Linked DNA regions of Pelodiscus sinensis. The protein of the gene in region 1 interacts with the protein of each later gene in a pairwise test. Links are inferred from orthologs where the notes say so. Each region holds a gene or a part of one and is shown on either strand. Other genes may lie near its edges.

The links.
Region 2: the proteins of SOX5 (region 1) and LMO1 interact in binary tests that used the Homo sapiens proteins (3 or more experiments, as listed by UniProt). The two-hybrid records come from large-scale screens. The link is inferred for Pelodiscus sinensis from reciprocal best matches to the Homo sapiens genes SOX5 and LMO1.
Region 3: the proteins of SOX5 (region 1) and ARID5A interact in a two-hybrid assay, tested with the Homo sapiens proteins (2 studies listed by BioGRID and IntAct). The two-hybrid records come from large-scale screens. The link is inferred for Pelodiscus sinensis from reciprocal best matches to the Homo sapiens genes SOX5 and ARID5A.

The regions. Positions count from the first base shown.
Region 1 is NC_134711.1:116,739,002-116,748,708, forward strand, and holds the start of SOX5 (transcription factor SOX-5), read left to right. Parts: upstream 1-4,962; 5' UTR 4,963-5,895; coding exon 5,896-5,987; intron 5,988-6,166; exon of another isoform or gene 6,167-6,702; coding exon of another isoform or gene 6,703-6,740; intron 6,741-9,707.
Region 2 is NC_134714.1:108,226,377-108,236,540, forward strand, and holds the start of LMO1 (rhombotin-1), read left to right. Parts: upstream 1-5,547; 5' UTR 5,548-5,585; coding exon of another isoform or gene 5,586-5,607; intron 5,608-10,164. UniProt on the Homo sapiens protein: May be involved in gene regulation within neural lineage cells potentially by direct DNA binding or by binding to other transcription factors.
Region 3 is NC_134738.1:5,953,340-5,964,033, reverse strand, and holds the start of ARID5A (AT-rich interactive domain-containing protein 5A), read left to right. Parts: upstream 1-6,721; 5' UTR 6,722-6,875; coding exon 6,876-6,879; intron 6,880-7,731; exon of another isoform or gene 7,732-10,694. UniProt on the Homo sapiens protein: DNA-binding protein that may regulate transcription and act as a repressor by binding to AT-rich stretches in the promoter region of target genes.

The DNA.
Region 1 (9,707 bases):
TCACTCTTCACAAAATATTCCCAGTAGAAAAAAATTTATCAACCTTAGCCCATTCTCATCCTGCTCTCTGCCCACAAAAAAATAAATCGGGATAGAAATGTTAAAGGGCCATATTTAAAACTGCAGTGCTATAGAGTTTAAGCTGAGCAAAGAAAATCTGTTTATAATCTTTAGGATTTCTTATATTCACTTTGAGAATTTTCCAGTAGATCATTCTGTGGAACATCTTACATTTTCTTGGACTTTATAGACCTCTATTACAACTTCCAGTGGAAAAAAACAAAACGGGCAAAGCTCTATTTTCCAGCATTTTGCTTCACTTTATTGTTGTATCTGCCAAAGACAGATCTGAAGTGTTATCATTCAACAATTTTAGGAACATTTTTGTTCAGATTTTCTTTTCTCCATTATGCTTGTGTTCTGATATCTGGAGCACAAACAGCTCATATTTCCCCAAATACTATCAGTGTTGTTGTATTTGTAACCTATATAATGCATGTTTTTCTTATATGGACATTTACACTTTATATATCTTCCTTTTAGCCTCAGTCATTCATTTATATTATCCCCCATTACTCTCCAATTTCAATTGTCTTTCTTTGCCGGGGTATAGTGAATGAGGCAACAGCCACTAGAAGTGGAAGAGAGTTTTGTGGTTAAGGCATTGGTTTAGGTCTTGGGTGATTGATTTCCTCTGTGATTTTTTTGGAAAAACACTTAGGTTCATATACTCCATTTGTGTGTATTGGTGAAGGTCTCTTGACAATAGCTATGCCAGTTTACAGCAGCTGAGATCTGATTCTTAATCAAGCAGTGCTATAGTTCCTACCTATACAATGGTTCTAAATAACATTTTTTGGACCTCTCAGGGATGTGTTGAGGATGAATTTGTTAGTTTATAAGGTGACTATGTCCTGTAGTGGTGTGGACCAAATACCTAAGGGTCCAAAAGGATTTCATGGTTATTGTTGACCTAACTTTGCTCCCATTGATGTCAGTAGGAACAGTGCAGTTGACTTCAATGGAAGCCGGATTAGGTCAGCATTGTGTGGTTTTGAAATTCCTGCTTTTGTTGCAATTCACTTGTGAGTTACTTCCTAGTAAACACCAAATTATTTTCAAGTTCTGAGTTATTATTTTATGTATATTTAGTCCTTGAAATCTTCTAGAGTTACTCATATTTTAGTTTTTCTATCTAAAGCTATGTTGTCTATCCAGCCAATATGTCTGGTGATATCGGAGTGATAAATTTCGGAATCATAACATACATTTTAATGTATCATTCACCTTCGACTGCTTCTATTACACTCTGGCTGTATATCATTTTTGTTGAGACTACTTGTTACATGTGAAAACCTCTGCGTCCCTTCAAATAGACACCTAGTTTAAATACAAAGTAAAAGAAAGAAATAAACAAAAGAGTTGGCCCACAAACGTTTGTTTCTTTCTTCCCTAAACATGTTGGTCAGAGTTATTTGATGGGCAACATTCAGGTCTGCACCAGTAACAGATGTAAGTTCCAATATCGTAAGAAACAGCAAAGTTAGGAATGAGAATGTTCTGTTGTTGGAGAATAGCAGGGAATTCCCCAACTCCTCTGGTTTCCTCTTGTTCTGTGTTGTGGCAGCCCCGGAGGTAAGAGGTCTTAAAAATTGTGACAGTATGATTTGTAGAAAAGATTATTCAGTTAATTTTCCAGAGGTTTCTTAAATTAATTATTTATAAATTTTCCCTCCTTTCCTTCTTGAGATTGCAGTTGGGCACATTATTAAGACAAACCTGGCTTCACAGAGAAACATAAAGATAACAATGGTAACATTTCTGCCCTTTTCTAGACCCTGCTTCTTTTCCTCTGTGAGCCATGAGAGGGAGTTTAGTGGGGCTATGTCTAGACTGCAGGCTTCTTTCAGAAGCTTTTCCAAAAGAGATCTTCCAAAAAAACTTCTCCCGAAAGAGAGAGCCTACACATCAAAAGTACTTCAAAAAAGTGATCTGCTTTTTTGAAAGATAGTGTCCACACTGAATGCATGCTATCTCACATTTAACTTGTGATTCCTATGGATGGAGTGGCCTCCAGGGCACCTGTACATTTCCCTCTTCTTTCGAAAGAACTACCTTTTCCCCATCCACACACGCCTTTTTCCGAAAGAGCTCTTTTGAAAAAAGGCTTCTTCCTTGTAGAAAGAGGTTTACCAATGTTGAAAAAAAACCTTATGTCCTTTCGATTTTTTTTTGGAAAGAATGCGATTGCAGTGCAGTGAAGTTTTTTTCAGAAAAACGTAAGTGAAGTTTTTTCAGAAAAATAATTGTTTTTCAGAAAAACAATCTGAAAAAATCTCTGCAGTATAGACATACCCTGTGAGGGAGTTCAGAATAAAAGGGAAACTAGGCAGTTGCAAAGAGAGCTAGGGAATAGGGAGTGGTCCCTCAGGCTTCCCTATGGAGCAAACTCCTGCTCTCTACATCTTCTTCTGCCTCTTTTGCTTTTCCTCCTCTGACCAATGTCCTGCTCCATGCTCAGTGATAGGAAAAGTAAAGCATCACTGAGGAATGGGATAGCAGAGCTAGCAAAGGGGGGCTAAGGAGTGTGAAAATGATTAATTAAAATGGAGCCACCCAAATTTGACAGGTATCCATGGGAGGTGCCAAGCTATCTGGATTGGCTCATGACCATGAGTATCAGCCTCAGGATACACTGTTAAGAAGCAGGGCATAAACTCCAACTGGTACTTGAGAAGTTCACACTTGGTACTTGGTTGCTAGTGCCTAGTGTGAACTCTTCAAGCACTACAACAGTCTTAAAAATGAATTCCTAGACAGTCCCCTGGAGGACAAGCTTGCCTTTGCGATTAGGTGGTCCCTTACGCCAAACATCATGACAATATTGAGGTTATTCCTGGTCCCAAAGGACCAGTCACTTACCTCCGGTCAATTTTACCATAAATCTCTCACCAAAGACAACACTTGTAGCCAAACCTATATAAACTAACTTAATGTTTATTAATTAAGAAAAAGAAATTAAAGTTATTTACAAGATTAAAGAAGGTAAACATCTACAAATGAGTTACAAAAGGTAATAAAAGCTGCTGCAATATGCAGGCTTTCTGTGTCCTTTAGGGATAAGCCAAGCTAAGTAGCTTGGGGATCCCTTACTTATGCTTAGTAATATTGCCATCTTTAGATTCACTCAGCAGAGTGATACAGTTTCTTCTGGTCAGCCATTTTTATTTTCTACCCCTTGGGTTCAAACTGATGGAACAAGTGCTGGTGCTCTTCATGGGTATATGTGGGAGGGGCTATTAACGAAGTCTTAATTTTTTGATGGTTCATTTGGTTTCAATGGGCCTTCTTGTGAGCAAGACCAGCACTTTATGCTAATTAATGCTTCTTTCCTGTTTGGTGAGTTGTACAATTACAGAGGTTTAGAATACAAACAGTACAACTTCATAGTTTGGACTACAGATGTTATATGGGAGATCAGTACTGGCAGCCTCCTATGAATATTTCATCAAGTCTAAACACTAAACTCATGCTTATCAACTTAACATCTATTTTAACAATGCTAATACACAGGTGAGCCAGACTAGTTTCCAGCTCTGCATTTGTCAGTGTTCAGTGAAGCCTACAGGCTTTGGCATGAACTGGCACCAGTTCTGCCAACATTACAGGGGGTAATCTAACTTTTAACCATTTTAACAAAGCAGTGAACTCTAGTGCCTTTGTAGGTGAAACACTTGAAATTTGCAGATGTGCAAAAAAGGACGCATGAATTTCTAAAACAAAACTGTATAGCAGCTGTGTCCCCATCAGCTGAGGCAGTATTACTGCTTGATTAGAGCAGGGGATTGGGAGTAAGAACTCTTGAATTCTCATCCTAATGCAGTCACTTACTAGCTGTCTGAGCTTGGCCTAGTTACTTAACAAAGGCCAAAACCTTATACCTATATTCATACTGAATAGCACTTTACTCCAGACAGAGCCCTGCTGATTTTGGTAGGTCTCTCTGTGGTGTATGGTACTGTTCAGTACAACTAAGGGTATCAAAATTAGGTAGAATTACATTTATTTACTACAGAAGAGTAATGTGTGGCTTAATTAAAATGGTTTATGATCCTCAAAGTATGTGGGGTTATTTTTTCCCATCTGCTGCTGCCCCTCTATTAATGTCTGTTTCATAGTTATTCAGGAAGGGTTATCTACTAAAAACAAACAAAAACTCTTGTGCATATTAACTAGATTTGTCAGTTTATTGTGAATGTACCTCTGTTGAAAATATTATTTGCCAGGGGCTATTCAAGAAGACCAATTTACCCTGCCCCATGGTGAGGAGCCATTAGATCTACCTCATGCCAGGAGTTGACAATTTCTATGTGCCTGCTCTGAATGCTGCAATATATATGAAGTAGATTTGAGACAAGCTTCTTTTTTTAAACTCTTTTCTGTGGAACATGGAAGGTGCCTTTGCAAATTTAGCTTTAATGTTTTGCTCCCATGTAAGTAGAGTAATGCACATTTGAAATGTTCGTAACTCACAAGTGTTTATTATTTCTTGTGACTAAAGCTATGTCCGACTCATGCTGATAAAGTATTGATACTGCACTTGAGTGCATGCCCTCTCTGTATGTATGTGTAGCTTTACAATATATGCAAAGTTTAAAAGACTACATTATTTTAAAGGCACATATTGCTGGATTTTAATAGACTTGGCATGCTTTTTCTTTAAACCTATCAACACGAAAGGGCTGAAAGTTATATAGAGTCTCTTGTTAGTGTGTCTTCTTGCACTTGGTACTTCTAAAAAAAGTAAACTTGCTCTCTGCCTGTGTCAGGGAAAGGGGGAGCCAGGGAGGGAATGGACCTAATCAAACTGCTGTGGGGGTCAAAACCTTGTGTTTTTTAAAGGCTCTTAATGTTGTCCAGCTGCACATTTAAAAAAAAAAAAAAAAAGGCAGCCCAAACCCAACCAAGCCTAAATGGGGAGGAGAAACTGGAAGGCAAGGAATAGAGGGGTTGAGTGTGTAAAAAGAACAGACACTGGAAGCTTGTATTTATTTATTTATTTTTAAAGTGAGTTCAGTGCCAGCCTGGACATTGGCAGCGCAGACTATTGAGCCATTGTCTGCTCCATTTCCAGAATAGCCCCCCAGTTAATCACTTTGGCTTTGAAGGGAATTTCCTCGTGGAATTCTCCACAGAAAATCTAATCAACTGACCTGCCCTCTCCACAATAGAAGGCTTCTCCCATCTCCCCCCACCCCTTCCCTATTGGGGCGGGCTCTGTAATGTAGCCTTTTGTGCAGAATGAACCCTCCCAGTAGGAGTGGATAGCTGGTCTCTCTCTTTCTCTCCCCCTCTCTCTCTCTCTGTGTGTGTATGTGTGTGTGTGTGTATATATGATGTGGAGCATTCACACTGTCTTATCTGCGTGTGAATGTTGTGTGTGTGCGTTCCTGGTTGACCAGATGCTGCAGTGCACTGGCCAGTCCCTGTCTCTGCATGTGTGTGTGTGTGAGTGTGTGTGCGCGCGCGCGCCTCTGTCATTTCATGTCAAAGGTCCATTACCTGATTACCTTCCTCGTCTGCCAGATTTTTATCTAGATAATTGGAACCGCTCTGAGGGCTGTGCTGTGCCAGCCAGCCTCGGTTCTCTAAAACCACACTTTGTCCACCTTGTTATCTGCGGCTGTCTGGGCAGAGGAAATTAAAGAGATCCACAGCTAAGGGATTCCTTTGATTTGCTCAGAGAGAGAGAGAGAGAGAGAGAGATTTGGTTTTTGTTTTGTTTTTTTAAATCCAGAGGACAGCCTGAAAGTTGCTGGTGGCTGTTGTGTGTGCGCGGTGTGTGCTGTTTTGGCATGTGGCTACCTTTCCCCCTTCACACACCAGGGCTGTTTGATGGAGTTTGGAGCTGAGGAAACTTTGGTTTTGTTGCCAGGACGGTTCGCAGCACTTTGTGGCAAGCAAGAGCTAACAGTGCGACCGACAGAGTGAGTGACAAGTTGTTTACAGGTTTCCTTGAAGGGGCCTCTGCTATATTTCAATCTGTCAAAGTTGCTTTTCTTCCCTCAGAACAATGCCTGATTGTTTTTTGTTGTTTTTCCCCCCAAAGAGACGGAGAGGGAGACTTTAAAAAGAGGGGGGGGGGGAGGGGGGAAGGAATGGAAATTCTTTGAGTACAAATGCCTTTGGTTACATTTTTTATGTGTCTAATCTTTTCTTCCCTATTTCAACTCGGAGGGAGTGGATAATAGCCTCAGTTTAATCGGGCTGCTCTTGTTTTTATCTTCTTTCTCCCCTGATCTGCCTCAGCGCAGGGGTTCGTTCGCTCCTGGTTTATAGATTTCGGGGGGTTTCTTTGGATTTCATGGACGTTCCAGGAGTTGACTTTTCCCATTTTGTGGTGACTGGAGGACAGAATTAAAAGGAAAGGACAGGCACCCTGAGGTTGTCTAGTGCCTTGCAGCCGCAGCGTGCTGCTCCGCTGTGGGGGGAGTTTTAGAAACAGTGTCTACTGCTAAGTGTGCTACCCCTTTAAGAGACTGGTCAAGGAGTCCTAGCTCAGAGAGGGGGGTGGGAGAGAGAGAGCCAGACAGAGAAAAAGAGAAAATCAATCGGTTTAGAAGGTTTGGACTCACTTGACAGGTTCAGTTGGAGGCGATCATAGGTGGCTGCTGTGACAAAGGGAAATTGTGCTTTTCCAGCATGCTAACTGACCCTGATTTACCTCAGGAGTTTGAAAGGTGAGTGGAGTGTTTTTGTGTGCATGTCTCTCTCTGTGTGTGTATGTGTGTGTAAAAAAAAAAAAAAGTCTAACTCTCCCTTTTTACAGCAGTCTCTGTGTCAGTGGTGAGATGCTCCCCCAAAGAATGCTCGGTGGAGAAGCTTTACCTTTGCAATTCGGATTACATGTCAGTTTGCTGATCGTTTGTTTGTTTTTGTTGCACGAAGCAGATTGAAGGGATCTGCAAAGTCCTCTACAACTGCCTCACCAGTAATGCTTTTCTGGTGGGGATTAGATCCCTAATGGGGATCTTAATGAACGTTACCATGATCTCTCTCTCTCTCTCTCTCTCTCTCTCTCTCTCTCGCACTCCTTCACTGAGCCACTCTACTAAATATGGGAGGAAATATTTGATGCAGAATGCCCTCATTGTTAGCATCTCTCTGTCTTCAAGAAGTGATTTCTGGGGTGATGGAGAAGGTTTCTGGTTGGGGTGAAGCCATGGATTTCATTTCCAATCTGATCCTTCCCTAAAACTTTGGAAGGCGCTTTGTAAAGCACATGACCCTTTGTTGATCTAACAGAAGTTATTATTTTTAGTCAAGTTAACTGCCAAGAGATCAGCCTTTACGTATCCAAAAAAGGGGGAAACTCTTGATTCTTCTAAGTTTTTGCCAGCAGCTTTTCGCTGAATGTCAAAAGCTGGATTTTTATTTATGGTTTATTTATTGTCTTTCCCCATTCTAGCTAATGTAGGAACTTTAAACATTTAGATTTAAGTTTTTGCTATCACTGGCAGTAGTTTGTAACCTCCAGAGCTTACTGCTTCTTTCACTTAAATCTGCCTTTTCTAAACTGTGTTTTGAAGCCTTCTCTCATACATTGGTACACACTTTCATTGAAGATCCAATATCCTTCCCCTCCAGTTTATTTTTAAATATTATAAATAGGCCCTTGTTTTCCTTTAACAAAGAATTCAAACTTTTCATTTAGTAAATAAAAGAATGCAAGGGGATGCGTGCTACATAGGCTTTTTTACCCCTTCATTTTCACGAAAGCTACCTTCTGTATAAACATTTGGTTGTATCTGACTATGCAATGCAGGCTAGGTGCTAGACCAGCTGGTTAAAAATATGCTAAGTCAAGCTGTTCATCGCTCAAACTACTGAATATGATAGTAAAAGGTACAGAAAAGAAAGGAAGATGAAAACAGTTTAAGTGGGCAGAAAAACATGCATGCAATGAAAGGAAATGAAAGAATACTGGGATTAAAATGAAGAAAAATAAAAATATAAGAATATGAAATTAAGTAGGAAATTCAAAATAGCAAGAACTATTTTAACACTTTGTGTCTCCTTTTGTAAGACTGTTCCTTACCAGAAAACGGCACTAGAATTGTTGAACTACTTCAGAGATTTTATTCAATGCAATTCATTTGCCAACTCTATATAAAATACCTGACAGTTTTCTTTAGTTTCTTTTTATTGTGGTAGAAGAGTAAAGATTGCTTTTGCTCACATGTAGTGTATTAAGTTAGCTAGAGTACCTGGTTTAGAGTGATGAACCTTAAGCTAATGTAACAATAAACAAATTTATCTTGTACCTGCACATAGTGGTTAAAAGTATTCCATATGCTTTACTAAGGTAGAAAATTGTAAGGAAACTATTGGATTATTCTTTGAACTTTGTGATGAATAGAATACATATAAGTCTATAACAGATACAGTCTTTTCATTTTTCTTTTTTTCTTCATTTTTTACTTAACTTTTCTCATAGTAGTAAAATTTCTTTCTTCCTAATCTTTCTCAAGGCATACATTTCATTTTTAGAGCTCAAAGATTTGCTCTTGTAAAAATTCTAGTTAAATAATTAATAAACTGCTATTCTTTTGGCTATGCAAATGACTTCAAGGAAGAAAGATAAGAAGCAATATAAAAGAAACCTCGCAACAATATGATTCTTTTTTTTACCATTTTTCCTCTGCAGTTAGAATTGGCAATACAAACCAATATCTGTTAATCATTACCATTTGTTTACATTGTATATATGTGTTTGGCTGTCATTACACACACACAAAGCAGATACTGTCCATGTAGTATATTTATATTTACCAAAAGACAGGCATGAGAATATGCGCACACACACATAGACATACTTCACATACATATCCAAGTTACACATGTACCATATTATATAGGAGGCTACTTCTTGAGCTGTTATATTCTCAACAAGCACATTACTTTGAGTGTGTTGTCTCCGCTCTCTGAGGTTCCCACCTGTCTCATCCACATTGTCAGCTTCAGTCTTGTTACTAACGTGCACAAGCCCCTGTAAAACTGATGTGTCATAAATTGCAGGGAGGTAAAATTCAGTATGCAGAGCTGATGGCTGTTTAGTTCTCAGGGTATATGTTCCGCAAAACAGTTATTCTTCTTTTGCTGTCATCACTGTTCTAAGGAGAAATGTTCATGTTTCATTGTACTCTAGTAAATATAATCAGTTTAGAAACTTTAAGAAGTCACTCCAACTTTCTAATAAATTGATGGGTTAAATTGAAGGAGACTTCTCTTGTTTGTCTTTGGTCGTTATCATGGACATTTGTGATGCACACTTGGAAGGAAAATGGTCCACAGTATCAGGCGAATAAACAAGCATTAATTAATTCCGCAGCAGTAGTAACATGCACAAGGTTTTGTAAATTGACACGTACAATTTATAAATTGTTCCTTAAGTATTCATTTTTGGTTTCTATTGAGAAGTTCCTTACACCTCTTTATTTTTATTTGGGGAGGTTTCAGAGTATACGCAAAAGGATCATCAGAGAGTGCAGAAATGCTTGCAGTAAAAATGTATGCAGAAATGTATATCTATAATCTGTCTGCTTATTAGTGAGTAAATTACTTCTGGGATATAATTTTTGGTGCACCTGTGGCACTTAGAATCCATATCAAATTATTTAAAAGAATCACCATGAATGTTAGATGAT
Region 2 (10,164 bases), on another chromosome or scaffold:
GACAGCCCCCTGATGGGCCCCCCGGATGGCAGCCTGCAGCAAGTGCAGCCAGGCTGATGGCAACAACCCCACGAGATGCACCAGCGTGCACAGAGGCAGGTCTGGCTCTATGTGGCCAAGTGCTGTGGTGTCCCTCATTGAGGTAGACAAGCAAGAGAACGGTCTGTCCAGGGTGGGTGTAGGGTCCCTTTAAGCACGGAGCTCAGTTAGCCTCAGGCAGCAGCCCCACACACTCAAGTCCTGACCTGATGTCCTGCCAACACTGGTTCCGGCCAGCCTTAACTTTGGTTCAGGCTCCACTCAGTGTGGACGCACTATTTCGAAATAGCAAAACGCTATTTCGAAATAGTTTTTGTGTATAGATGCGTTATTTCGAATTAGCTTCATTAGAATTAACTATTTCGAATTAAGTTAACTCGAAATAGTGCTGTAATGTAGACATACCCACAGTGGAGTTCTTACACTGATGGAAGAAGCCCTCCCATTGGCCTGGAAGGTGTCTTCACTAAGCACTATAGCAGTGCCGCTACAATGCTATAAATGTAAACAAGCCCTAAAATAGCCAGGAATAAAACATGGGTCACCAATATGACAGATGCAAGTCTGACTCACTCAACAATAGTGATAGAAATGTAGCCAGGTTAGTCAGGTGTAGTTGAAACAAAATACAGGACTATGTAGCACTTTAAAGACTAACAAGATGGTTTATTAGATGATGAGCTTTCGATAGTCTCTTATAGACAACCACCTAACCTCAAGATGATTCTTACCAACAACCACAGGACATACCACACTAATACCAACCCTGGTACCTTCCCTTGCAACAAACCCCATTGCCAGCTTTGTCCACATATTCACTCTGCTGATACCATTATTGGACCTAACCAAGTGAGTTATAAGATCAAGAACACATATTCCTGCGCATCCAGAAATATAATTTATGCTATCGTGCCAAAAGTGTCCGTCTGCTATGTACATTGGACAAATGTATCAGACACTTTGCCAAAGGATCAATGCCCACAAAACAGATATTAGACAGGATCACAAAGAAAAAACAGTTTCTTGCCATTTCAACCAGAAAGGACATTGTCTCAACGACTTAATTACCTGCATCCTGCTTCAAAAGCCTTTTAAGACTGCACTTGAAAGAGAATCCTCTGAACTGTTATTCATGCTAAAATTCGACACTTTACACCTGAGTCTGAACAAAGGATCTAGTTATCTTACCCATTACAAAGATAGCTTCCCCAAATTATCACCTCTAATATCAGTAGCTCACAGACATTTACCTCCCCCCCACCCCCTTCTGTTCTGAAATTTGATTTGTCCTTTTCATATGTGTTCATTTTTTAATTGTATCCTTTGGTATATATGGTCGTGACAATTTTCTTCCACTATTTGATCTGAGGAAGTGGGTCTGGCCCACGAAAGCTCATCATCTAATAAACCATCCTGTTAGTCTTTAAAGTGCTACATAGTCCTGTATTTTGTTTCACTCAACAATGCCACTTCAGGAATAATCAGCTAAATCTAACTCAAGTACAAGGAAGTCTCAGAGGGTAGCTGTGTTAGTCTGTAACTTTAAAAATGAGTAGTCCTGTTGCACCTTGGAGACTAACAAGTGTGTATGTGTGTGTGTGTGTATAAAATCATTTTGTGGGCAAAACCCACTTCTTCAGATGAGCTAGGAATCTGTTCTGTGCAGTTGAAACCTAGGAAATTACATTTAAAAATTGTTAAAACAACACCACATAATGTTGACAACTCAGGCACTCAAACATTAGCAAATGCCAAAATTAAGATGGCTAATGAAATCTAATTCTGCCACTTTGAGTATGCATTATGATATGATAGTTAATTGCATACTTGTATACTTTTTCCTCTACTGGGTCTCTGCCTCATTCAAGCACAGGAAAACTTGTGGAGGTCTTTCCATTGACTGGGATACAACACAAGTTCACTCCCCAGGAAATCTTCATCTGCTATACTCCATCATTTTTTAGGCTTTTCCTTTTCTGCTACTTGTGGCCAAAGCAAAAGAAGAAAGGCAACTGCAATCTATTCAACTGGGAATTGATTTGAGACACAGGAAATCTGGATTTCACTCTTGGCTTACAATTCAGCTGATGTGTGATCCCAGGCAAGTCACTCCAACTTTCTGTACTTCTCTTTTCCCTCATTCTCTTTGTCTGGTTTTTTTTTTCTATCTACACTGCAAGCACTTCAATGAAGGGACTGTCTGTTACATGTGGTTTTGTTTAGCCTGCACCACAATGGACCCTAGCCACTGTAGGTGCTATCATAATATGAACAATAGTGCATAAAGCCTTGAGTGGCATATTAATCATGTCTAGTCTTGTTCTGAGCATGCATGCAATGCAGACTAGTGCTACAGCATTGGGCTGGGAGTCAGGAGACGTGGTTCATATTTCCAGCTCTCCCACTGGCCTACAGTGTGACTTTGGGGAAGTCACTTTCACATCTCGGAACCTGTTTCTCTTCATACACTTTGTTCTATTTTGAATGAAAATTCTTTGAACAGGAACTCTAACTGTGCATTTATATAGTACCAGGTAAACTGGGGCTATGGCAACACTACTTAATAGTAGTAGTAGTATATTGTATTATTTATTTCATTTTATTTATTAGTATGGGAAAATTCTTAAGGAAGGCCATTCTCATGGTATTTCCTGTCTAGTGTTTTTAGACTCCAGACATTCGCGTAAGTACTCAAATGCTTCCTTTTCTGAATGGATTATCTGAATATATTTGTAAAAGGCACACAGGGCAATGCGCCACTATATTGTAGAAAGCATTTCTCTGAAGTGGAGACTTTTTACATAGTGGTTAATCCTAGGATCTTTATTAAGCCTGCATAAATGTAAAGATAGGGATCAGTGCGTATCATTTAAACTGTAAAATGTTTGCATGGAGAATTATTTCATGTTTTATGTTTTATAATAGCTTGGCTTTGGCTGAGAGACCTCACTTCAATTTGTCCGTTGCCTCTTCTTCTCTTTCTCATCCCCAGACACCACGATCTTCCTGAATTCAACTGTGAACATCACTTCTAGAGACGTGATACCAAAATCAATATTCATTTCACAGTTTAGACCCTTTACTCAGTTTCTGGCTGCTTCTCCCTTTGCATCTTCCATAGTGTCCTGCAGCTTAGCGTATCCAAACATACGCCTCTTTGGTAAGAGTATCCTTCAACAAAACTCTGGTACCTCCAAAAAGCTCAGAGTAAAATGAAAAAGTTGCATACTTAGGTCTTGATCCTACTACCATTGCAGTTAAAGTTTCAATTGATTACAGCAGAAGCACATTTGGGCCTTTAAAATGTAATATATATTAGCGGTTCATGAACATAGCTAAAGGTTTCTCCAAGTTTGAGATTTCTTGTGTTGTTTCCAAAAAGATTCATTAAGTTAGACAGATCAACTTCATGTGGGTACAATATATGCCATACACTGGAAATTAAATATCAGAAAATTAACAGAGTTTGTTGTGTTATAAAGCTGCAGGCTTTTTTTAAATCATTATACTCATAGAAAAAAGTACTGCACTAATGGAACACAATATTATATTGTAAGTTGTATTTGCAAGTAACTTTGGTTAAACTTGCTTAGCAATAAATGTAACAGGTTTTCTTCTTGGCTTTATTTGACACGTACAATGTGTGCTTTAAAGATAATGAGTAGCGTTGTCAAATGAACGACTCTAATCATGGCAGCCCCAACATGAGAAATGTGGTAATGTGGAAGTGGGAGGAAATCCCAGGAGACAAATCTTTTGGCATTTTAAAAAAATTTCCAGATATCACAAAAATTGTGTGTCTCACCAACAGAAACCGTCCTGATTAAAAAAAATTAAAATCAAGACAGTGGGGGGAAATGAAATAAAGCTTAGTATATGAGCAGAACTAATATTAGTTTCCTGATAGATTTAGATAGGCAAGGGGAATAATGAATCAGCTCATGTATTGCCTGGGGAAACAAAATCTTCAATACCCCTGTGCAGATTGAGGACACTAACAATAAGGGTCTTTGGTAAGTAAAAACCAATTTTGGGGGGAAATCAATAAATGCTTTTTAATGGAAGTTCACATGGAATTAAAATGTGGGTAACCTGCAAGTTCCCGTTTCAACTAATGGAAATGCTAATGAATGATGTTCCAGTTTCAACTAATGGAAATCAAGCCCATTATGGTAAACATAGGAAGCAAGTACATTAATAGTAGGCATTGACATTAATTCAGATTGTAAACAATTCAGAACTGTTACCAATACATGGTACATTATTTGCCATCTTATCTGCTGTTTTCATAGGACTACTTCTTTCACAGCTTTTTAAAATACAGAAAATTGACTGCTACACAGTTTTATCAGTTTTTTGCCATAGTAAACAAAATAGTTTGCAAATTCTGTTTTGCTCTCCCTTCCCCCATCAACTCTTTATCTTTTTGTGTGTGTGTGTGTAGCTGAAAACACTTTTCAAGCTAGTGATGCCACCTACATTCATTGCTATGCAGTTCTGTACTTTACTTTTAAAAAGTTTAGCCAGGGGGAGATGTGGGGAATAATCTGTGAGAAGTAGAAAGAAAATTGATCTTATTTATACAGTAACACGTGTGTTAAAGCAATGCCTCTTTTCCTTTGCTATAGACTCCTGCATTTTCTCTCACACGTATATACACACACACACACACACTTTAACTGTGCTTTTGTGTTTTGTCAGAATTAATGAGAAAAGTTCCCTTGCCCTAGGGGTAATTAGTGTCCTTGGAGTTAAATAAGCTAATACTTAGACACCTCTGGCACAGGCAATTATGTTTGTGTATTGAATAATTGATTCAAAGAGGGGGGGAAGAGGCTGCTAATCAGATCTGAGCATAATGAATTGATTTAATTAACAGGGGAATCTGAGGGTCCCTGGGAAATGTGCGCATTTATTCAGCAGCAAGAGAGAGTGCAAAGCACATAAATTGAGAGAGGCAGGCAGCAAGTGCTTTTGCGTTCAGTGATAGGTTCGCATTTTTCCTCCCCCTACCTCCCTTCCTTTGAATATAATTTTAGCTTTAGAGTGAAATAAAGAGAAAAGCACTTCGGAAGCCTGGGAAGCTCGGCAGTAGCAACAGCAGAAAGGAGGAGGGGGGGGGGTGCTTGTGAGCTATCATATGCAATTCCATTCAAACCAATTTTTTGGCTGTGCACCTTGGGAAGGCGCTGGAGAACCGGCCCTGGATTTGGTCTCCTTTATCTTTCCAGAATTCTTGCGCTCCTCTCCGCACGGGCCTGTGAGTCGTGGCGGGAGGGCAGGGGCTGAGCGCTTGCCTTGGCACTAGCGGAGCGCCCCAGCCGAGCCCGGCGCAAGCGAGGCTAGAAGTCGTGCAGCCGCCGCTCGCCGGCTGGGGTGGGGAGCAGACCCAGGGAGGACGGCCCGGGTGCGCGTGCCGCCGGGCAGCGCTTTGCAAGCCCTCTCGGGCGCCCCGTCCCTTCCCCTCTCTGGCGCACAGGAGCGGCGGCTGGAGGGTGAGCGGACGCCAGCGGCGGAGGCAGCTGTTTCCCGCGAGCCCCAGAACCATGGTGCTGGACAAGGAGGACGGTAGGTGGGACGCCGGAGGGTCGGGCCCGCCCCGGCTCCTTTGGCGCGCGGCCGGAGAGGCCGCGCGCGCGGCCGGCGGAGACGGGGGCATTGCTGCAAGTGCCTGTCGCGGATGCCGTGCGCAGCGGAGCACGCTGGGGTGCGCGCGCAGGGCGGTCCGGGCTCGCCTGCCTGCCTGCGCTGCTAAACTCCATCGTGCGGTGCAGGGCGTTCGCTGCCCCTGGCACGCGGAGCGCGGTCTCTTCAGCCAGCGCTGTGCTCGCCTCCCTGGAGCTTGCTGGTCTGGGTTCGCTTCTCTGCCCCTCTAACTCCATCAGCCTCAGTGTGGTCTCTTCTCCCCGCGCGGCGACTGTTGTCCCCTCCTATTGTCGTGTTTACCCTCTCGCCTATCCCACCCCTCCCCAGCTCCCTCCTCGGCTCTAAACCCGCTATTAATGCCTAAGAGCTCACAGCTTTGCTAAACTGCCTCACAAAGGGCGCCTCGGCTTCTTGTGGGAAAGGATTTACTTTTTAAAAGAGGCTGGGAAGAAGGGGGATGTGTGGATGTGGCGATGAGAGAGAGCTGACTGCAGGCAACTTTGGCTCAACCATGTGCTTATTGTCAGGACTTGCTAGACATTCATGTGGCCCCACTTGGGAGCGGGGAAGCAGGCCAGAGTTAAAGACTAAGTTAGCTAATTGAAAGGGAAATTAATTCTGACGTGTAAAGTATTAAGAAGGGCTGAAGAAAAAAGGAAACTGGTAACTCACCACAATAGCCTCCTGCATCCTAAAGAAGTGAGAAATAAGATGAGAAATACATCCAGTGAGAAATAAGATGCTGCTGGAAGTTTTTGTAATGTGGGGCTGGGGTGAAAGGAGAGGATAACTCCCACCTCTGCCAGCCTGCACTTCTTAGCTGTCAGAGTTGGCTGTCAAAGGTTATTTGCTGTGCACGGCTGGGGTGGTGGTTCTGAGTGAAACAATCCATACAGGCATCCTGTAACAACACTGCAAAACTTTTGCCAGGGTTATCCTACTGAGGCCTTTTCATTTCTACTCTCACCCCCCAGATATTTCAAATCTATCTACAAAACACCAACGAGTAGTGAAAGTGTGGTCACCTACTGCTGTGCATGGTGATGGCCTTTCCCAGTTTTCCCAATACGTGCTCATCATACTGACTTTTTAAAACTCTTTTAAGACCCTTCTAGTCTTGTCATTTTCTTCATAATTGAAAAGACTGTGTCACAGCCAGCACCATTGCCTGTCAGAAACTAATATGTATATACCTGGACTTCACTGATTCTGGCGGTATTTTATGGTCATTTTTGTCTACAACTGTGTTTTTGAATAGTGGCCTTTGCTTTGGGGATTGGCATGTGGGTGGCTGCTGGGTCAAAGGTCATTTTATATGCTTTTCATTGGCATAGACAATACTTGGGGAAAGAAGTCCATGCTGCTCAGAAAATGGTCCATTCCTCCAAGCCCATATTAGGTAACACAACTAATTCTTAATTCTTCTCCTTTATCTGTTGCTATCACTTTCCAGCCCTCTCATCTCTAACCAAGCTATGCCAGTCATATATGTGTATGGGAATAGGAGCATTACAGAGGTTGCTGTCTTTTGCGGAGACTGATGGGTGATTATGTTGTTGGTCATCATGATCAAAGTCCTATCACCACTTCAGAACGTCATGCCGTCTTGCTGCATATAACTGTGTCACTTGCCACAAAGTCAGGTGGCATTGGCTTGTCACCCGTCATGCCAACTTTAGTTAATTGCAAACTGAAAAGCCTTACAGTTGGTAGTGTTGTAGTGAATGCTATGTTTGTATAAATATCAAACTTCTCTTCCTGAGGAATGGGGGGGGGGGGTTAATTTGGAAAGGCAAATATCAGAAGCACCCTTTCCCACTCAATTTTGGAGTAACTGCCTTTGCCAGGTAAGAGCCAGCGTCACACAAGCTTTAATGGAGTGAGTTGAGGCATGAGGAAAAATCATATCCCTGCTTGTGTGCCTACTTGTTGTGGGAGGGGGTCACATCTGTAACAGCTAGAAGGTTAAATGCACACTCCAGCTTGTGGGGAGGGAGCTGAATGCTCTGTTGTTGCATCTGTGGACTTAGAAGCTTTTATACTATTCCACAGTTTTGTCAGAGCCCTCTGAAATAAACTGATCCAGTGATGGTAATGGGCTGTAATGTTCCAGCAGTCAAAAGTAAACCTGTGAATGAGGGGAGAGAACTTGCACTACATTTTAAATAAATGATACAAAATGTTTAGTAACAAAAAAAAAAAAACCCCTCTCTCACATCTGCATCCTGATACATGGGGCTAAATAATAACATTAGAGTTAAGCAAGGTTAATTCTTTTCCAGTCTGGCTCATGTGATAGGGTCTGTATTTCCCTCTGATTTCATTTTTGTGGGTAAGCCACAATGGTTGATCCATGAAACTTAAATGGTTGCAGTGCAAATTTTGTTTGACTTGAGGGGGAAAAGGTCAGCTTTTTACTTTCAGCATGAAAGTCCTCCAATAATAATAATAAACTAGGCAACATCTTAATCTCTCTTAACTTTCTGCCAAAGGGTGCCTGCCAACCCATATCTGTTTAAATCTGATTGACGGGTTAACAGCGGGATGCTGGCTCTGCTGTAGAAGTAAGGGAAGCAGGTGAGCTATAAGGAAAGACTGAGATCTAAAGAGGGTTTGCTAATGGGAGTATTTGGATTCTTTCAAGTATTGCAGATGGACTCGTTAAATGTAAGGAGCTCAGGGCTGGAATGATGGTGGTGTAAGGAAGTGAAACTAGAACCATTGATTATCCAGACAGTTCTCAACAGCCCTCATTCCAGGAGCTCTCGTGAATGGTGATATAAAAGGAACTAATGGGGATGAGGGTGAAGGGAAGGAGGAAATTAGAATGAAAGACACTTAAGAAGAAGAATAGTAAGAAATTCCGGATGTGTAGATCAGAGTAACAAACTGTAGTAATGCCTGGGAGTCTTCAAAACTGTTGATAGTGTAGTTATGCTAGATGTGAAATTATACCTATTAAGTGTCAGAGGAATTAGGAACGGAAGGGACAGATTGAGAGGAAACTATATTATGAGGAGGTTATTCTATGCTTTCCTTTCTCCTTCTGCCTGACTCGGATGGTGCTCCAGTTTCCTGATTATCTGTGAATGTTAAAAAGGATGCTGAATCTGCACAGGTTATATATAAATGGACTAAAATAAAGATTACTACTAGCTATACCAGTTCCTTGTCTTGAAAGACCTTGTTAGTGAAAATGGGTCTGTTTTATTATTGCAAGCGGGTCTCCTTCTGGGAACCAGTCTGTGTTTGTTTTCGTTTTGTTTTTTGGGTTAACCTTCTAAAAAAACCCAAAATTGCAGGACACAGAGACAATTCACTTTTTTCCTTATTTTGCAGGGTCATTTTTAATCTTAAAAGGTAACTTTTTTACATAAGGCGGCACAGTGATAGCTTAATGAATGCTGCGTGCATCTGTGTGGGAAACCAGGAATGGCTTAAGTCCCTTATTCCTCCAGCAGTCTCGGGGCATTGCAGAGCACTCACATCCTCTTAGGTAGAAGTTGTAATGTGCTTCTTCCTTTTGCATCCCTGAGAGCTAGTTGTCCAACTGTATTGTTGTTTTGGTGGAGATTGCTCTCCCAGCCTCAGGGTACATGCTGCAGTGATGGCTTCAGGGGAGCATGCAAGCCTTAGGGTGATACTGCCATCATCATACAGGGTCTAATAATCAGTTTGCTGCCTCGTAAATAGACAGCTGCCTTGACTCAAACTCTTCTTGGTGTCGATAGGGACAAGAGAAATGCAGCATCACTTTCCTAACGGCTCTATAAATATCACTGTGGGTAAAGGGAGAGTGGACAAAAAAAATTGTCAAGTTCCTGACCTGACATACTGTGGCACCATATCATATTTTGTCTGTAAGGCAGCATTGCTTCATATGTCTGAAGTGACACAGTATAACCAACTGATAGAACCCAATGGGATAGTAGCAAATATTATTAAATAGAAACTTACGTAAGTGTTTTCCCAAAAGGAATCTTCAGATCTGTAATTAAAGAAAACTCGGAGCCCAAATCGCTAGAGACTTGCACTTGATACAATTCTAGTATGTTAGCCACAGCCAAATTTGGCCCTGTGTGTTTCTTGTTTTGCCTTGCACAAACTGATCAGCCCAGTGTCTAGATAATTACAAAGCTCAAGGTTATTATAAATATTCCTCAAATCTCTAATTGCGCCTAATGCTTCTATAGTGGAGAGCAGAACTCTGCTTTTAAAAAAATAACATCAGTAAGCAGATCTCAAATATCGTGACTAGTTTACAAGACTGGTTTAATTGTAGCTGATTCTGTTTAATTGCTAGTGAAGGGGTGTGTGTGAGAGAGAGAGAGAGAGAGAGAGAGAGAGAGAGCTGTTTAATGTAAGAATCCAAGTTACTGGATGTGTAGAAGTAATGGAGGAAAGAAGTGCATATCGGTACAGCACTACATATTAATGCATAAGATTTTTGTCAGCCACATAATCAATCAATCTGTAGGC
Region 3 (10,694 bases), on another chromosome or scaffold:
TTTGCCCTCCAGATCTTCCTCATGTTTGCAATCCCAGAGTAAGATTTTTCACATTGTGTATGCACATCTCATCCAGGCTAAGAGCTGCACTTGGTGATGTAAGCTGATATTTTAATTCTCTTACAAGGAACGGTGTTTAGAGGAATGACTTAAGTGGATTACTCATCTTCTGTAATAACTTGGCAATGCTCCCACTCTATTCCTAGACATGACGCTTGATGCTTTGATTCTTCTTTTTTTTTAACGAGAAATTACACTCCTGTGTTTTTCAAAGGCTGACTCCACCCCTTTGATGAGCACTGCATTCTGGGACATGTAGTATATCTGCATTAAAGGAACAGAACAGCGCTGAAAAACAAACTGCTCACTTCAGAGCAGAGAGAGCTCCAGCCAGCACCCACCTCAAGTAGCTGGGCCAGGTGCTGAGGAGATACATAAGAGGGAGAAAGATGGAGAGGATAAATCCTTTGCACCAGTCACAAAGTATCCCTGAGCCCAATTATGTGAACTTAGCACAGGTAGGATACACTACCAATTAATTTTCTTGTGATGCATTCAGATTCCATGGTGCTGTGTGGGAGAAAGGGATGAATAGCTGGAAGGATCTTCCTGTGGACTGATGGGTGGCCTGATCGATAAATAAACATAAGAATGGCCATACTGGGTCAGACCAAAGACCCATCTAGCCCAATATCTTGTCTTCTGACAGTGGCCAATGCCAGATGCCCCAGAGGGAGTGAACAGAACAGGGAATCATCAAGTGATTCCTCTCCTGTCATCCATTTCCTGCCCCTGACAAACAGAGGCTAGGGACACCATTCCTACCCATCCTGGCTAATAGCCATTGATGGACCTAACCTCCATGAATTTATCTAGTTCTTTTTTTGAACCCTATTAAAGCCCTGGTCTTCGGGCCAGAGGATGTTGTGGAGCCACAGGCTGATTCTGCACTGCTTCAAGAAACATTTCCTTTTGTTTGAATCCATGTTCCTATGGACACTCAGGTGCTGTGTCTCCCTCTGCCAGTTGCTGCCTGTGAAGCTGGGCTCTGAACCATGCAAGGGCTGTGCATCCCAATCGCAGCACCTGCATCTTTGCAGGAGAACTACAGCAGAGGAGTCTCCAAGGACACAGAGGTGGGAGCTGGTTTAGCCTCTGATTGCACAGACGCATGTAAATTGTATTCATGGTGGAGCTTTAAATCAAATAGATATGAAAACACCAGCCCCCAGAGTAGGAAACCATCATGCAGGAACGGGGGGCTGTTTAAGATCAGCATTCCACAGGAACTCTTTTCAGTAGTGTAACAAGGACTCAGTCCAGATGGGCAGAAACAGGCTGCAGTTAGTGGTAAATAGCATAAATTATAAATAAATAAATTATTGGAGATTGCCTATCTCCTAGAACCAGAAGGGACCTTGAAAGGTCATTGAGTCCAGTCCCCTGCCTTCACAGCAGGATCAAGTACCAACCCTGACAAATTTTTGCCCTGAATCCCTAAATGGCCTCTGCAAGGATTGAACTCACAAGCCTGGGTTTAGCAGGCCAATGATCAAACCACTGAGCTATCCCTCCCCCCTTGGCTGTACCTACACCTACTTGCTCCTCAAGTCTTCATTCATGCCATCCAGGAAGGTACTTCTTCCAGGGGTTCCCCCAGACCCTGAGATTAACTTGGTTCAATTTTGTTTGGATAAGCCGTCCTCAATACATGCTCAGTATTGTTATTGGTTGTTTAGACACTATAGCAACAAGGTCAGTATAATACTGGGCTTTCAACGATATTAAAAAAAAAAAGAGTCACTAAACCAAGGTCTTGTCCTAAACATTCTCACCTAAAAAATGGAAAGGAAATTCACATATGCAGGAGGAAAGGTCCACTGGTTTTCAAGCCTGGGATTCCTAGGAGTAAAGGTTTTTCATAACTGAGGTTTAGGCATGGGAAACATCCCCTCTGCTGTAAGATCTCACTGCTTGGCTAAGATTAAACACTGTGATCACAGAAGCTCAGCAAGAGCTGCTTCATGGCCTGGAAAGCAATCCAGCTATTCCGGACAAAAGGACAGAATACAGAATGAAAAGGTACAATTATCCAATATGGCTTAGATCCAAAGACCAATTAAAGCAGTGAGAGTCAACTGACTTAAGTGTGTTTGGTCAGGTCCTATATTAGATTTCTCACCACAGTGTCTCCAATTAATTTACATCTCCACATCTTGTGAGCTGCAAACTCCATGTAAGCTCAAGGGTTCATTCATTTTTATTACACTCATAGAATAGTTAACACTCAGGCACAAAACCAACATCTTTGCCATCTATATCTCAGACAATCTCAATTCAAGGCCTACACTATTCAGAGCAAGTTCATCCATTTCTAACAGTTAACTTACATTATCCCACTCTTACCCCACATCCTTTTCTCAGACAGTGATCTCTGCTAATTCAGTTTTACATCTCACTGCTTTATGAAGCCAAACTGAACTCTCCACAATTATATTTTTTGAGTCACTATGACTCTGGACTATATACATAGCCACAAGAACTATTTATAACACGAGGTGATATTTTACTGAAAGTGCCTTCTGTGCCAATCAGAGCTAGAGATTCAGTAATTTTCTAGCTTGCAACCCCACATGGCTAAATGGTTAACTCTATGTGGCCACATATCCAGTCCTGGGCTTTTCTAGGGTCTGGACTTCACTCATCCTCTTTCTCTGTCTAAATGTAGTGCCCAATCCCACAAAGTACTGGCTGCCTTAAAACCCAGTAATAACAATAGCAATTAAGGTCACACAGCAGGACTGAATTAATAATAAATGGTGGATCCATATAATAAATTGCAGAACCATTATGCTCAGGTGCACTGCCTCACATGAATAATGTGGCCAATCTCAGTCCAACAAAACCTACATCCCACATTACTTATGATATACTATTTAGGTCATCTAGGGACCAGATGTAGAGTAGCATTGAGCTGACACCTCTCCTATAAGCATCATTGGGAGCTTCAAGTGTGTAGCACCACCGAAAATCACACCCCATCTCTTTGGCTCTGTTGCTGTTTCTTGTTCTGTATCTATCTTATCATTTATCTGGGGGATTATTGTAGGAAAGTTTCTTGGAAGGGGTTATTTGAACCAAGAGAAGGAAGTCATAAAAAGCACAAATTACTCACTGTTCCTTATACCACAGCCCTTCCTGTACTGCCCCCTCTCTCTGATCAGTTACAACAATATGTAGTAGAATATTTTTCCAGCCTCCTCCTCCTCTCCTGTGTGCTATTGCACTAAGAGGAGTACAACTCCAGTTTCCTGTTTTTTTCACAGTAATAATCAAAAGAAAGGAAATAACACAACCCTTAAGCTTTTTTCAATAACAGTAACATGACACTAAACAAAATGTGTGAGACATTACAATCATAGCTGGAATGTCCCCAGTCCCCCACCCCGCTTTACCCCTTATCAAAACCTCTTCCAGTTTATTCCTGATTGTGACCCTTCCCTTCACCAGCCTCCACACTTCAAACCTGTGGCTGGCATAAGCAAAGCAGCAATCCCTCTTAGTAGAGACTCAGTTTATACTGGCAAAAAAAAACATCTTGGTGGCATAGTGTATACCAGTTACCTAAGCAAAACATGCTTCAATGCTATAAAACACTTTTTGCCAGTGTAACTGACTATACTAGAGCTTTTGATGGCACAGCAATGTCATGAAAACCCAAATAGTTCTACTGGCAAAACTTTGAAATGGACTAGCCTCTCACCTAGCTACATCATTATGGCTTAGATTTTTTGTATTCTTCAATGCTTTTTTTTTTTTTTTTTTTTTTTTTTTACTGCAGCTACTAGCATTTGAAGGCAATAAGGCCTCTCTGGTGAATTAGTATATTCTTTCAAAATAGAAATTATGGAAGTAATTCAAGATTACTGCAAAACTCCAAAACATTATAGGGTATTTTTGCAATGCTATATCACAGGCTCCAGCAATAAGACCCTCTAGCCCAGGGGTCGGCAACTTTTTCAAACCAAAGAGACAAACTACCTCAAAATTCAGAACTAGTGGTCAACAAAGAGCTGTATAAGAATGCCCATTTTCATGACTGAAAATATACAACTTAATATTATTGATAATTGACATGATGATTAATAACAAATGAAATATTGTACTCCGACTTTTATTTAATGGGACTTCTGCTGCTGCATCTTTTCGCACGTTTCTTTGAAGTTTACATCATCACTGGTGAAATTCAGGGTCATGCATAATTCAAGTTACATGAATAATTATGTGTTCTTAAAATTTTGAATTAATTTTTTATTTTAATTTTAAAAGTTGCATGTATTTTGGGAATGAGAGAAGAGCCATATTTGGTTACATACCGAGCCATATTTGGCTTGAGAGGCATAGGTTGCAGACCCCTGTCCTAGCCCCTCCACTGGCTGTGCCATTTGGCTTAATGGATCTTTTCAACAATTCAGTTTGTCTCCATCCACTGAACCCTTACTTTAAATCTTCCAGTTTTTCAGGGCTAAGTGCTCCTCACTAGTTGCCATTTGAGTGTATAATTCAAAAGCTGGCATTAAATCCCATTCCCCACTGCTGTATATCACTATTTTTATTTTAAATAAAGTCATCTCCACAAGGTATCAGAAGCCAGAGAGAAAAGATCAAATTTATTTACAGAATGTAACACTACCAATGGGCTAGACACACATGGACACAGAAAATGGAGACAGGCTTGAATAGCAACTACCAATGAATATTTGAACCAATATTTCAGAATGGACAGAAATATCAAGCTAAAATAATGCTACATTTTAAACATAGCCATGTCTCAAGGGGATAAACTGAAGGAACTCATTGAAGTCGGTGCACCGGCACTTGTATTGACTTCACTTGTATTGGGCTTTAAAGGAACAGTTCTAAAAAGCCTCTGGTTTTGTAACTGTCTTTAAAACTAGAAATACTGTCCACAGTCTCAACTACTAGCCATGCTCTGGTAGGGACAACTGAGTTTTTGTACTCAGCTCTTCCCTTCAGGCACTGAGTGAGGCTGGGATTTCATTTCTCCAACTAAAGCCACATATTAGCTGGCTTCCGCTTTCTACTACAGATACATCAGGCATATATCCCTGGCTAGTAGGTATGCCGTCAAGGTAACAGTGTCCAGCATGTCCCCACGAAATCGCACAGGTCAGTTTCTCTTTCTCTGAAGTGCGGAACACAGAAGTGCATCTTAGGAGCAGTGTGCTCGGGCTCCCCCCTTGCCTGCGCCTGGTTCACACGCACGTGCCCGGGTTAGCCAGCGCTCCCTTCCCGGACGCGGCTCACGCGTGTGTGCGGGGTGCCTGGCTCACACAGGGGTGCGGGCTCGTCTCTTCCCGGCATCTGGGTCATAGTTGTGTGCGGGTCAGCCCCCCCCCGCACCCGGCTCCCCCCCGGGTCAGCCCGCCGGCCCCCCCCCGCACCCGGCTCCCCCCCGGGTCAGCCCGCCGGCCCCCCCCCGCACCCGGCTCCCCCCCAGGGTCAGCCCGCCGGCCCCCCCCGCACCCGGCTCCCCCCCGGGTCAGCCCGCCGGCCCCCCCCCGCACCCGGCTCCCCCCCGGGTCAGCCCGCCGGCCTCCCCTCCCCGCACCCGGCTCCCCCCCGGGTCAGCCCGCCGGCCTCCCCTCCCCGCACCCGGCTCCCCCCCGGGTCAGCCCGCCGCCCCCCCCCCCGCACCCGGCTCCCCCCCGGGTCAGCCCGCCGCCCCCCCCCCCGCACCCGGCTCCCCCCCGGGTCAGCCCGCCGCCCCCCCCCCCCGCACCCGGCTCCCCCCCGGGTCAGCCCGCCGCCCCCCCCCCCGCACCCGGCTCCCCCCCGGGTCAGCCCGCCGGCCCCCCCCCGCACCCGGCTCCCCCCCGGGTCAGCCCGCCGGCCCCCCCCCGCACCCGGCTCCCCCCCGGGTCAGCCCGCCGCCCCCCCCCCCCGCTCCCGGTTCCCCCCCGGGTCAGCCCGCCGCCCCCCCCCCGCTCCCGGTTCCCCCCCGGGTCAGCCCGCCGCCCCCCCCCGCTCCCGGCTCCCCCCCGGGTCAGCCCGCCGGCTCCCCCCCCCGCACCCGGCTCCCCCAGGGTCAGCCCGCCGGCTCCCCCCCCCGCACCCGGCTCCCCCCCGGGTCAGCCCGCCGGCCCCCCCCCCGCACCCGGCTCCCCCCCGGGTCAGCCCGCCGGCTCCCCCCCCGCACCCGGCTCCCCCCCGGGTCAGCCCGCCGGCCCCCCCCCCGCACCCGGCTCCCCCCCGGGTCAGCCCGCCGGCCCCCCCCCCGCACCCGGCTCCCCCCCGGGTCAGCCCGCCGGCCCCCCCCCGCACCCGGCTCCCCCCCGGGTCAGCCCGCCGGCTCCCCCCCCCGCACCCGGCTCCCCCCCGGGTCAGCCCGCCGGCCCCCCCCCGCACCCGGCTCCCCCCCGGGTCAGCCCGCCGGCTCCCCCCCCCGCACCCGGCTCCCCCCCGGGTCAGCCCGTTCGCCTCCGGGAGTGGCCTGGGCCCGGCCGGCGCGGGAGGGGGGGAGCGGGGCAGCCCCGCAGCTGGCCCGGCCGGGGTCCTGCTCCCTCAGGCGTGGGGGGAGGGGCGAGCCGCGCGCAGCGGGCGGGCGATCGGCGGGAAGGGAGGGGGGGCGGCTCTCTCGCGAACTACAAATCCCAAGGGCCCGCGCGGCGCGGGGCGGGCGCGCTGAACTGACGGCGCCCTTGTCCAATCAGCCGCTGAGCGCCGCCCAATGGGCGCGCGGGGCGGGGCGGGGACAGAGTTGCTGCTTCTCAGCCCGGACACTCCGGAGTCTCGCATGGGCCGGGCGGCGGCGCGGGGGCCGGGCGGGCGCTGAGGCCGCGGCGCTGCGGGCGATGGGTAAGAACCAGCCTTGCCTGGGCTGGGTCGGCAGCGCGTCCCCAGCCGGGAAGCGCGGGGAGGAGGGGAGTTGGGGGGGAGTTGGACTGAGGGGGGGGAGTTGGGGACTGGGGCTGGCGGGGGGGGGAGTTGGACTGAGGGGGGGGAGTTGGGGACTGGGGCTGGCGGGGGGGGAGTTGGGGGGCCGGGGCTGGCGGGGGGGGAGTTGGACTGAGGGGGGGGGAGTTGGGGACTGGGGCTGGCGGGGGGGGGGAGTTGGACTGAGGGGGGGGAGTTGGGGACTGGGGCTGGCGGGGGGGGGAGTTGGACTGAGGGGGGGGAGTTGGGGACTGGGGCTGGCGGGGGGGGGAGTTGGACTGAGGGGGGGGAGTTGGGGACTGGGGCTGGCGGGGGGGGGGAGTTGGACTGAGGGGGGGGAGTTGGGGACTGGGGCGGGCGGGGGGGGAGTTGGACTGAGGGGGGGGAGTTGGGGGGACGGGGGCTGGCGGGGGGGGGAGTTGGACTGAGGGGGGGGGAGTTGGGGGGACGGGGGCTGGCGGGGGGGGAGTTGGACTGAGGGGGGGGGAGTTGGGGGGACGGGGGCTGGCGGGGGGGGAGTTGGACTGAGGGGGGGGAGTTGGGGGGACGGGGGCTGGCGGGGGGGGGAGTTGGACTGAGGGGGGGGGGAGTTGGGGATGGGGGCTGGCGGGGGGGAGTTGGACTGAGGTGGGGGGGAGTTGGGGACGGGGTCTGGCAGTGGGGGGATGGGGCTGGGAGCAGGGGAGAGGGTTGGGGTGAGGTGGGAGGCCAGGACTGGCAGCAGGGGAGTGGGTTGGGGGTAGGGGGAGGAGTTGGAGTGGGAAATGGGGCTGGCAGCAGGAGGCGGGTGCCGTGCCCCATTTGAGGACAGGGAAGTCAGCTTTGGATTCTGGTTACGGTCAAACCTCCGGCGCACTCCCGAGCCCCTGTCCTGCAGCTGGGTTTGGGCTCAGAGAGAGCAGGGGTGCACTTGCTCCCTAGCAGCCCCTTGGAGATGGGAGCCGCAGCTGCCCAGCCCGGTTCGCAGGCTGGTCCCAGAGCCCGGCCGTTAGGCTGCAGATTCTTCAGAAGCAATGAGGAGGGAGGGGGAGTTTTTTCCTTGTCTCAAAAGTTTCTAGCTGCAAGGGGCTTCCCAGTAATTTTTATCTCAAAATGCACTTTTCTTTCTAGTTGGTAAATTTCAGTGCTGTGTTGGGTTCTGGCTTCCCACTTCCTGTTGTGGTTTGTAATCTTTAGCTGTTCTCAGCTAATTTGTTGTGACAGCTGTCAGCAACAGCTTTTTTTTTTCTTTGGTTCCCAGAAGAATCTGGCTGTTTTTCCCCTTCCCCGTCATGGCCTCCAAAGGGTTAAGCTGAGGTATTGTACAGTGTGTACGCAGAATTCTGGTTCCATTGTACGCTGTCATTTCCCGAAAGTGGCTTACTCTTGTGCTTTGAAGATGCTAACGGCCCCTCCTTCCAAGTCAAGAAATGGTTTGACCTTTTCAAGAACACTTTTCAGCTACTACAGCCATGTAGAAGAATGAAACTATTCCCATTTGCCCCATGCTCACGCAAGCACATACATACACACACGTACCAGGGTAGTGTGAACAAGATAAATGTTTAGTAGTGGGGGCAGGGGGAGGGGAGAAGTGACTCTGGAAATTGCAGTTTACTGCTGAGAAGTACAAACATCTACTCTCAGTAGATTTTTCCAAAATACCAGAGGACCTGGCTGTTCCAGATTAGGTTGGAGCTGTTTTTCCTTGGATATTTAGTAAATTGCATTTGTCCACAGTGCATTCTCCTGTTTTCTATGCATTGGAATATGTATGAGATTGAGCATCCCCCTCTCCTCTTAAGTAAGGTTTAGATGAGCTCATGGGTCATTGTCCTCTCTCATTTCTGATTTGTTAGCAAGGTTGGGTGGCCTTTGTTTTAAGATTTTCTTTTTGTGGCAGGGTAATCTCTAGGGTGAAGCCTGGAGAGCAGACTTTTATTTCTTGCTCTGGCCTTGGGTGACTCCTTGCCTCATTCTGTGCCTCAGTTTCCCCACATGTAAAATGGTGTTTTTGGTACTGCTCCATTTTATATGATATGTCGACATCAATCCACTAATGATAGCAGAATAAAGAACTGAGTTGAAGCAGCATGCCCTGCTCTCCTCTCTGGACTGGTGAGAAGAGGGTGATTGGAGCCCCAAATTGTGCAGAAGGGCAGCCCCAAAACAGGCACTTTGCCATACCAGTAAAACTGCAAAGCAAGGCCCAGCATGCAGCTGCCTTGGAAAAAAACAGGTGCTTTGCAGTGCTGCAACCCAGATAAGATGCATCCCAACTGGCATGAAACAAAGAACAGTGTAATTACTGTATCTTCTGGAAAGGGGGAAGGGAGGCAACAACTGCTGAGGTCTGCCTTGGAAGAATGAAGCGGGAGCTGCAAAACTCTGCAGAGCAGAGAGGCAGATTCCTACATGTGGTGTGAGCCAAGCTGTGTTCTCACTCCACCACATGCAACCCCCACAAACCTTGGTCCATCCAGTATAACTGTTAGGAAAACTCTAATTAATGGCATTTTGCTTGCTTTGTAATTAACAAACGCCTGCACTTGTCTCCTTTGTTTGTTGGGAGTTGTGCTCTTGTGTCAGTGAGTGTTCAGGTGTCTGTCCCTTTGTCTCCCTGCCTGTTCTCTGTGCCATGCTGATGAGCTGAGGCAGTTTGGAGGGGACAGACTCTTAGCCTTCCTTCCTCCCCCACAGTGGCTCCTGCCATAAGCCGGGTAAAAGACTCAAGCTGTTCTCTGCTGTTTCCCAAAGTTGTCATCATGTCCAGTAATCCTCTCAGAAGCCGGGCTTGTCTTGGCTGCCTTGCGTGGTGATCTCATGCCCAGAGAACATTAAACCGGCCAGTTTTCTCTCCCCTTTGTACAGTATGTGAAAGCGTTTTATGAGCTCGCTGACCCCGTGGGGCTGAGAATGACACACAGCAAACACGAACTGGAGTAGGCTGAGGGGTTGAGCTTTGGGAACAAATCAGCACTTGTTGTTGTTCAAAAGGCTCAGGAAGGAGAGGTGGATATTTCAGCAGCATCAGGAGACAGACTGATGTGACCTGGTTCTGATCCATCAGCTCTGGTTCCCATCTGCCTCCCTCCCCCCCCCCCCAGCTTGGAAAAGGGGGTTGTTGGAGTAGTCGGTGACCTCAGCCCGGCAGATGTTGCTCGCAGGAGCTGTGGCACCGGCAACAGTGCAGAGTAGGAGGGAGGTTTTGTTTGTTTGTTTCTCTTCCTTTCTTGTTATGTAAACAGAATCTATATTAAGCAGTTATGCAATGTGGGAGGAATTTCACAAATGCAGTAAGGTGGGGCAGGGTCTCTGCCCTGAGCTCACAGCAGAGCATGAGCCTTTCATTTCAAGAAACATTGGGTAGTATTGGAGCTGCTCGGCAAGGTGGCTTGCATGACCACAGACGAAGCTGTCCATGATACGGCCCAGTTTCTGATAGAGGGTGGCCTCCATGCTTGCTGTGACAAATCAGGGTCCCTCTTGAGGACTGACCTCTGCACAGGGACTTGGCACTAGATCCCAGCTCTGCCACTGCCCACGTTTCTGCTCGGTTCCTGAGTTTCCTCTCTCTCAATTTAGAGTGTAAAATCTTCAGGGCAGGTACGTGTCTGTGCAACACCTAGCAAAGTGGGGCACTGATCTCCATGTGGCCTCTAGATATGACAGTAATATGCTTCTTAGAGCATCCTGGCTGTGCTTCCCTTGGCCTGGCCCTTGGGCTAGAGTTTCCCTTTTGTCTCTCTGTTCGGGGT